Coturnix japonica: one gene and its partner. The protein of the gene in region 2 interacts with the protein of the main gene of each other region in a biochemical or structural test. Links are inferred from orthologs where the notes say so. Each region holds a gene or a part of one and is shown on either strand. Other genes may lie near its edges.

Region 1 (3,566 bases), on a different chromosome or scaffold from region 2:
CATACAGAAGTTAGAAAGGGTTATCTGAATCCATTTAAAAATAAATACATAAATAAAATGGAGGGAAAGATCACCCAAAACAAGGACTCATGCACAGCAAGGACAGCTCTTCGACTTCCAAGATTTTTTGGAAGTGGTATTTCTAAACCAAATGGGGACTGTTATGGAAGAAAACATATTGGATGCCAATATCTGTTTCCTCACAGTTCAACAGTGCACTGCAGCATGTGTTTTATTTCAAGCAAATATAGAGTCTACAGGAACGTTAGCTGAGTTCCTAAAATTAAGCCAAATGCTTTAGGGACTCCACTTACTTGTGGTTAGTGCCCAACACATGGTATTGGCTCACTTCTTTTATGATTCTTTGAAAACTTCAATCTTAATTTTATCTGACAGGAAGGGACAACAGTTATCATCCAAGACATCCTCTGGTACAAAGGGGTACTCTTGGAAGCAGACTCAGACAAGCACCTCACAAGTCTGTAATTACAGCTATCAGGTGAATAAAAAAAACATTGCCTAAATTTAGAGGAGACGGGTGTCTCTCCTCATCCAAAGTCACAGTCCAGACAATAGATTAGGTTTGGGAAGACAAACACTGTTCACAACTGGTCAGGGTGCAAGACTGTTAGTGAACAGAGTGTCCAGCTTGCAAAGTGGAAGGAATAAAACCCAGATCAGACAGAAAACCTTCCTTTTTTAAAGACACTTTTCCTGGTGAGATATTCTGTATTCCGACTTATCCTTCAGTGAAGAGCACTGACTCTTTAAGCACTCACCGTATGGGGTTAGGAGGAGGTGGAGGAGGGAGAGGGGGCGGTGGTGGCGGCGGAGGAGGAGGTGCAGGATTTTCAGATTGATGTATTCGTTTTTGAAGTTCATCAACTGTGCAAGAGAAAAAACCTTGAGTGAGGACTCTGCTTCTCGCATCTGCTCTAAAAACTTCGACAGCTTAAGCAAAAGAAGCTACTAATTAACCCCAAAACCACTCAGTTGCTAGGAAGTCCTATTTCAGGCAATGTTTTCTACTCTCAGCAGCCTCCTAATAGCACAGAAATCACACTATACCATTTACTGCAACCTGGGCTACCTTTGAAACTAAAATGACACTCCTCAAACAGAATTCTTTCTGTAAAATCTCAGGACAGATAAAAGTTTATCACATTCACACTACTGCAATCTACATGAGGTCTGAGGCACATCAGCCTCCTGTACTTCCATGGAAGCTGAATGAGTCCTCAGTGTACATCAGAAAACACAGAATGGCATCGTATGCAGCCTTAAATAACAAACTAAATAAGAGATGAGAGAAATTAACAAAGATGAAGCTAGAAACTGATATCATGTCTTCCTGATGGACTTTGTCGTCTTTTTTTCCTCACCAAACAGCTCAAGCTGAGGGGGAATGGGATTATCCCACTTTCTGCATATAACTCTTCAGTTCTCATTATGATTAATTCAAACTGAAATTCCAGTCTTTAAATGGTAAAGTAAGAAGCATAAATAACGGAGTGACTTTAAACCCCAGGTACAAACTTAATGTTGACAAATTCCTTCTGAAAGACAAACCAATCTGGAAGGACAAATTCTGCTGTGATGTTTAGATCTGTCCAAAGACAGTTGAGAAAAGGCTGTTTCAGTGTATTTTTAAGGCTGGGTAATGTAAAGCTCCAACAAAAAACACTGCTAACAAGTGTTAATACTGCTCTTAGGAATATGTTTCATTTATCTTACGATAAGGATTTGGGACTTTGACTGGGGTTCAAACTTAAAACCAGTACCTGCTTAGGCCTTCAGCTGAATAAAGGACTGAAAACAAAGACCATCAAATCAACAAACCATAGGCCCACAGTCCTCATAGCAAGGCTACACACAGCAGGAGCTGTGTTATACCTCTAGAAGTAAACTCATTACACAGTTTTACCTGTATGCTTTAGGTCTCTTGCTTTTTCTTCAGAGTTCTGACATTTAAGCTCTAGTTCCTTTTTATCTTCTTCTAAGAGTTCCAGCTGCTGTTTAAGGCGACTAATCTCCTTATGCAGTGCCTGGTTTTCTAGCTTCTCTTCTAATTCTTTGACCTGTAGTTGGCAAACCACGGCATTAATTCATCCTCCAATTCAAGAAGCTTTCAAAGATTTCTGCATGAAATGAGAAGCAGTTTTACCTTTTGTTGATGCTGAAGCCTCTCTTCTTCTAACGCGTGGGTTAGCTTAGCATTGTCATCCAGCGCCTTCAGAAGCTGCTGATCGGGGGCAGAATTCTGCAGAAGCAGCTGGCTTTGCCTTTTCATCTTGTTTTGTTCAATAAACATCTGAGAAAAAAACAGCCAGCCCCAACAAAAACAACAGTTAAGCAAAGCCTGACGCTATCTTGGAAAGAAAAAGAAATAATTGGAAAGAAAGCAACAAAGTCAATATTGAGTTAATACAGCAGGAATAAAGGAAAAGGTGGTGAGAAAGAAGGGAAAAGAAAGTCTGAGAGTAAAATTTACAAGAACTGAGCTTAAACTGAAAGATACCAGAACAACGCTCTGCCACACCTCTATTACCTGCACGATGGCAGAAAAAGGGATTTAACTGAGTATCTGAGATTTATTTCCTGGAAAAATGAACGACCCGGTTCTGGGGGCTCTGGGAAGATTAAAGGGATTCAAGGTGGAGGAAGAAAAGTCAATGAATTCACAAGCGATCTCCTCAACCATGTCAGCCAACCTTGGCATGCAGCCCACTTAATGCACCATCACCTGGGTATGTACATGATGGAGTGTCTTTGGGAAATGCATTTCAGCTCATGTTTGATTAATCAGTGTATGTAATTGCCCTCAGATCCATTTCAGACTTTGACTGCTGAAGTTCATGTTTTCTCTTTTTCAGTTATATTTTAGATCCAGGGAATGGATACATGAGGAAAAAAATCCATCCATTTAGAGGCATGACACTGATACAAATATCACATATTTTCCTAGGCTTCACCCACATCAGCATGTGAGATTCCCGTAAGAGAGAAAACCAGCTTCTTGCAGTCTATTGAGGAGCTTGGAGAAGAAGAATTATTTCCTGTCCCTACTAATTCCTTGGTGAATTTCTTCTTCATCCTGATGTCTCTTCCAGGTAGCAAGAAGGTGCCCAGCAAACAGCAATCTGCACTTCTGCACAGCTCAGCTGTTTCAGTTCTTACAGCAGAAACAGGGACTGGGTCATGCTGAGACTGGAGATGAGTGTGCACAGCTCAGCAAAGCACCACTTACAGCAGGAGAGCGGAGAACAGCCACAGGCTCCTTCAGACTGTGAAAACACCGCTCCACAGCACAGCAAAAGCAAGTAGATACTTTAAAAAATGCAGTATTTCATGTATAAAAGTTCCATGAGATTTTGCCAGGCTCCTATACTACTTCTCACCAGCCAAAACTGCACATACTACACAGTGACGGATGGTTTCTTCCTGCTCGGTGCTGTTGCACACTGCCAGGTGATTTGTATTTTTTTCAGTACAATCGGATTGTAAGGAACCATCAGCTGATGCAGATTTGTGAGCAAACACTCTGCTCTGCGATTTGCACAGACGCT
Region 2 (4,036 bases):
GTGCGTAGCTCAATATTACAGAAAGCCCATGCTGGGGCTTGCATATCTGGCCTTGTGACTTCTGTGGGAATCTAGATCCTGTGCATACAGTCTCTCTCCAAACTGTACCCATTGCAGGGGCAGAGCAGTGCCTAGACTCCAGCATGGGCTTTGGGTGGTAATGTACCAAGCACCGTGGGATGGCTTGATACACCCCTTCTGCATCTCCATGAGCAGCCTGGAGCAGAGGTGCTGTGATGGGCAAGAAAGCAAAGGCTGAGAGCATGACTATCTTGTGAAGTCCTACCAGCATGCAATTCTTGATGATTTCCTAAGTATTTAGTAAGGGATGTTGTAATCACAATTAGCAAGTATGCTCTTAACATTCTTGAAGGGAAACAAATTTTGCATAGAATGAGTTGAAGACCTGGTAGCTGTAGATGTTTATATGGGAGGCTGGAGGTTTTCTTCTGGCTGTCTTAAGTGTACTCTGTGGTTGCCTCCAAGTCTGTCTCCAAAGTTGTCTTGCTTCCTTCCTTAAGAGAAAATGCTCATGATTGCTTAAGTCATTGTGTTTATTTGTGATTCATGTAGCTGGAGCATTAGGGTTTATTTTCCTCCACTGGAGTTACTTTTTGAACTGAAGAGCACTTTGATGATGCTGCTGCCATCATAACTGTCATTCACAGGCAGCTCAGGTATCTGCACATCTTATCCCTTTCTTCATTGTTATTTTCCTTGGAAATCACTGGTTAAGAGGACTTAAAGTAGTCTTTGTTTCCTGATGTTCAGATAATTACCACAGCTTGTATTTCTAGCAGCTGATTTCCTAGTTCTCAAATTGCTCTGATATGGTTCCCTGCTCCTCAGCTGACCACCCCAGGTGTATGGGAACAAGGTGGAGTTGCAGCTGGTAAAACACTGGGATGGGCCCTGCCTCAGAGCTCACAAGCCTCATCCTCCTGCTCTGGGGGAAAGCCAAGTCTTCTGTTTTAAACAACTTTTTAAGAGAGTTTACTGGTCCAAGTTCAATCTGATTGTAAAGCTGAAAGAAGAAAGGAAACACAAAGCAAAGCCAAACTGAAAATGGACTTTGGCGTATGCCGGAAGTAAAAGCCAAAGCTTCAAGTTACGTTGTTGTCTGAGCAGCCTGCACATGCTCATGTTGCCTGCAGGAGAAATAACTGGAAGGGTGTGGTTCTCTAAACCTTGAATTGCTCAGGTGTGTGCACTTCAACTTTTATTTTGCCTCCTGACATGCTGTGGGCTGCTCTGTGTGACACAGCTGGTGGCTGCTCTGCTGTAGGGATGGGGCCCTATTGCCAAAATACAGTGACAGTGCATCAGTGGGACTCTGCCAGCAGCCAGCACAAGGCACAGCCAGGCCAGACACGTGAGTTTCAAGGTTTGCATTTCTTTTTAACTGATATTCTCACTTACAACCTACCAGAGAAGCAAACGGGTAAGGACATACTTGGGCAAAACAAACTTTATTTGGTATCTTCTGTTCACCTTCTCCTCTACTTATTTATACTCAGTTCTTAATGAGTTCTGTTTTCATTCAGTACTGGTATGTGCAGTGGTTGCAAAACTGAGTATGTGTGAGTATATGTCATCTCACAAAAGTTTCATCTGTACGGATGAGCCTGATCCTTTTTGTCAAAACAAGGTCCATGTACAGACATGGCAACACAGAGGTCAGGACTGCTGTGAAGATGCACAGACATCCTCGCACCCTGAAGGAGATACTTAAAGTACTTCACAGGTTTAAAGCGAAGCACATTTTGAGTGTTTTTAATTAATAGCTGCTGGGTACTTAAACATCTACCAAACAAAAACACAACTCGGGGAAAGTGTTCACATTGGATTGGTAATTCACACTTTTCCCATATGCCTGACACAAGAACAGGGCTCGACCAACAGCAGGAAAGGCAGGAGCAGGTGAATGTTCTGGTCAATATATAATGCGGATGTTTCTTCACAGTCTGCTACTGAAATAGATTAGAGCACACAATCTCTGTTTGTTACACCCCCCTCTCCCCTCCCCAACCAGACTTGTTTTCATTTGTTCATTCAGTGGGACACAAAACAAAAGCAAGGTATCTTTGCCACTTTATCAAAGCAGCATGATCTATTGTCTCCTGTTGCTAGGAAAGAACAGAAATTATCTTTAACTAAATTTGCCATCAGGCATTTTGAAAGATGCTGCCTCGCAAGGACTGGTATCCTCAGTTCTTCAATCCAGTTTTCTGAGACTGAGAGCTTCCTCTCAAGGAAGCAATCTGTTACTAATTTACTATTTTATACTCTTCCACCCAGACCTCAGAGGCTGTGTGTATTTTCCAAAAGTATAAATTGAATCAGTCTGGGGAATCTTGACTCTTCAGTATCCTTTTCTTGCCACCTGAAAATACTCTTCCTTCTGCTTCTAATTAATGTTACTTTTCTGTAGTCCTGTACAAGTGTCCCCCAGTCCCTCACGAGAGCTCTGCTTTTTGGAAGGAGGTTCCAAGCCTGTGTGTCTGAGTATTAACTGCATCAGGACTTCACTGTAGCACAGACTTGGAAGGCAGAATGTCACTGGCTCCAAACTGCGATTGTCTATCACAAGAAGAAATTGATTTGTCTTTTGGAAGAGGTTTGAAGGGGCTGGCATCTTACCCCTGAATAACTTTTCTTGTGCAAAATGCAAATAAATCTTGCATGCAGAATGAGATGACAGATTAGCCTCATTTTGCTGCAGACTAGGAAATCAGGCAGTATTGTTTCCAGCAGGAAGGTAAATCTCTGAAGGCTTTCCAGATGCTGGCTGCTGAAGGGCTGCAGCCAGTTATTTCTGAAGCCCTCAACTCTGCAAGCTGGCCTGGGGCAGGCAGAGGCTGCAGCTCTTTTTGAGGGGCTGTCTCTGCAGCCAAAGCTTGTGAGATGTATTCCCTCTCGAGTTAAAATGGACAGACACTTGTGTCAAGTGAGATTGCTGGTTTTGCAGTTGTTTGAGATGCAAATCCACCTCTTCCACTGGTATTTTTGCTCCTAGAACCTGGGAGGTGCGACAACTGACTTTCCCCAGGCTTTCCCTAAAGCCTTCAGCTGTGTGTTTAAGGAAGGTCATTGCACAAATCCTATGATTTGAGGGAACCAAGCTTGGAAGCAGAAAGTTTCTCTTTTGGTAAACATTCAGGGAATGGTTCATAGGCAGCTTAGGTCAGGTGCAGCTGCCTCTGGCTGCACGCTGCTGCCGTTCCTCTCAATAAACATCAGTTACTGCTTGACAAGGAAATCGATGAACTAAATACCCTGAAATTTCCTACCCATTTAGCAGTCCCTGGCAACACTCTCCTCCGTCCTTTGGTTTCACTTTAACGTACCTTTACCATTCTTCTTAAAACAAAGAGAATTAATAAAACAATAGTTTGCATGCACCAACAACTCCTTACTAAGAGGTGACAGCTACTTCTCTGCCTGGATTAATGCATTTTTTTTTTCAGAAAATGCAGCCGCTTAAAGGAAGAAATTCAAATCAGACAAAATTCCCCTGTCTGTGTGCACATAGCAGATCACATCTGAGCATGTGGTGCACACTGGCAGGAAGCAGGACAGCTTGAGCATGTAATGCCTAATGGGTTTCTCATCACAGGAGTAAGCAGCACACAATCTCACACCCATCAGACTGGTTCTGGATGCGGATGATAATTTGGCTGCATAATTAATGATCTTCTGCAGCTAGTGCCGCTCTCCTGTCCTGGCTGATAAAACCTTTGTGAGCCTCTTCGTTTCAAGGAGAATGTTAAAAGACCATCAGCAGTATGTTTGTTAATTAGTGTGGACTTTAGGTCAAAGTTTTCACAAAGCTCCAATTAAAGCAGCAATGACTCGAAACCAGTGAGCAGTACCGTACACAGGGTTGCTGCTTCCCAGCACTGAGCAGATGAGGCAGAAGCAGGCTCCAGAGGATGTGATGGTAACCGAGAGCCCAGACACTGTCATAAACAAACTTTATTCACTGATACTTTTGTTGAACAGAGATCTTAGTCATTGTCCTGACTCATGAGAGCTG

The links.
Region 1: the proteins of LNX1 (region 2) and SHTN1 form a complex in vitro, tested with the Homo sapiens proteins (2 studies listed by BioGRID). The link is inferred for Coturnix japonica from reciprocal best matches to the Homo sapiens genes LNX1 and SHTN1.

Annotation. Positions count from the first base shown.
Region 1 is NC_029521.1:25,821,494-25,825,059, forward strand, and holds part of SHTN1 (shootin-1), read right to left. Parts: intron 2,312-3,566; coding exon 2,165-2,311; intron 2,079-2,164; coding exon 1,925-2,078; intron 886-1,924; coding exon 780-885; intron 1-779. UniProt on the Homo sapiens protein: Involved in the generation of internal asymmetric signals required for neuronal polarization and neurite outgrowth.
Region 2 is NC_029519.1:59,244,818-59,248,853, forward strand, and holds the start of LNX1 (E3 ubiquitin-protein ligase LNX), read left to right. Parts: upstream 1-1,224; 5' UTR 1,225-1,372; exon of another isoform or gene 1,373-1,384; intron 1,385-4,036.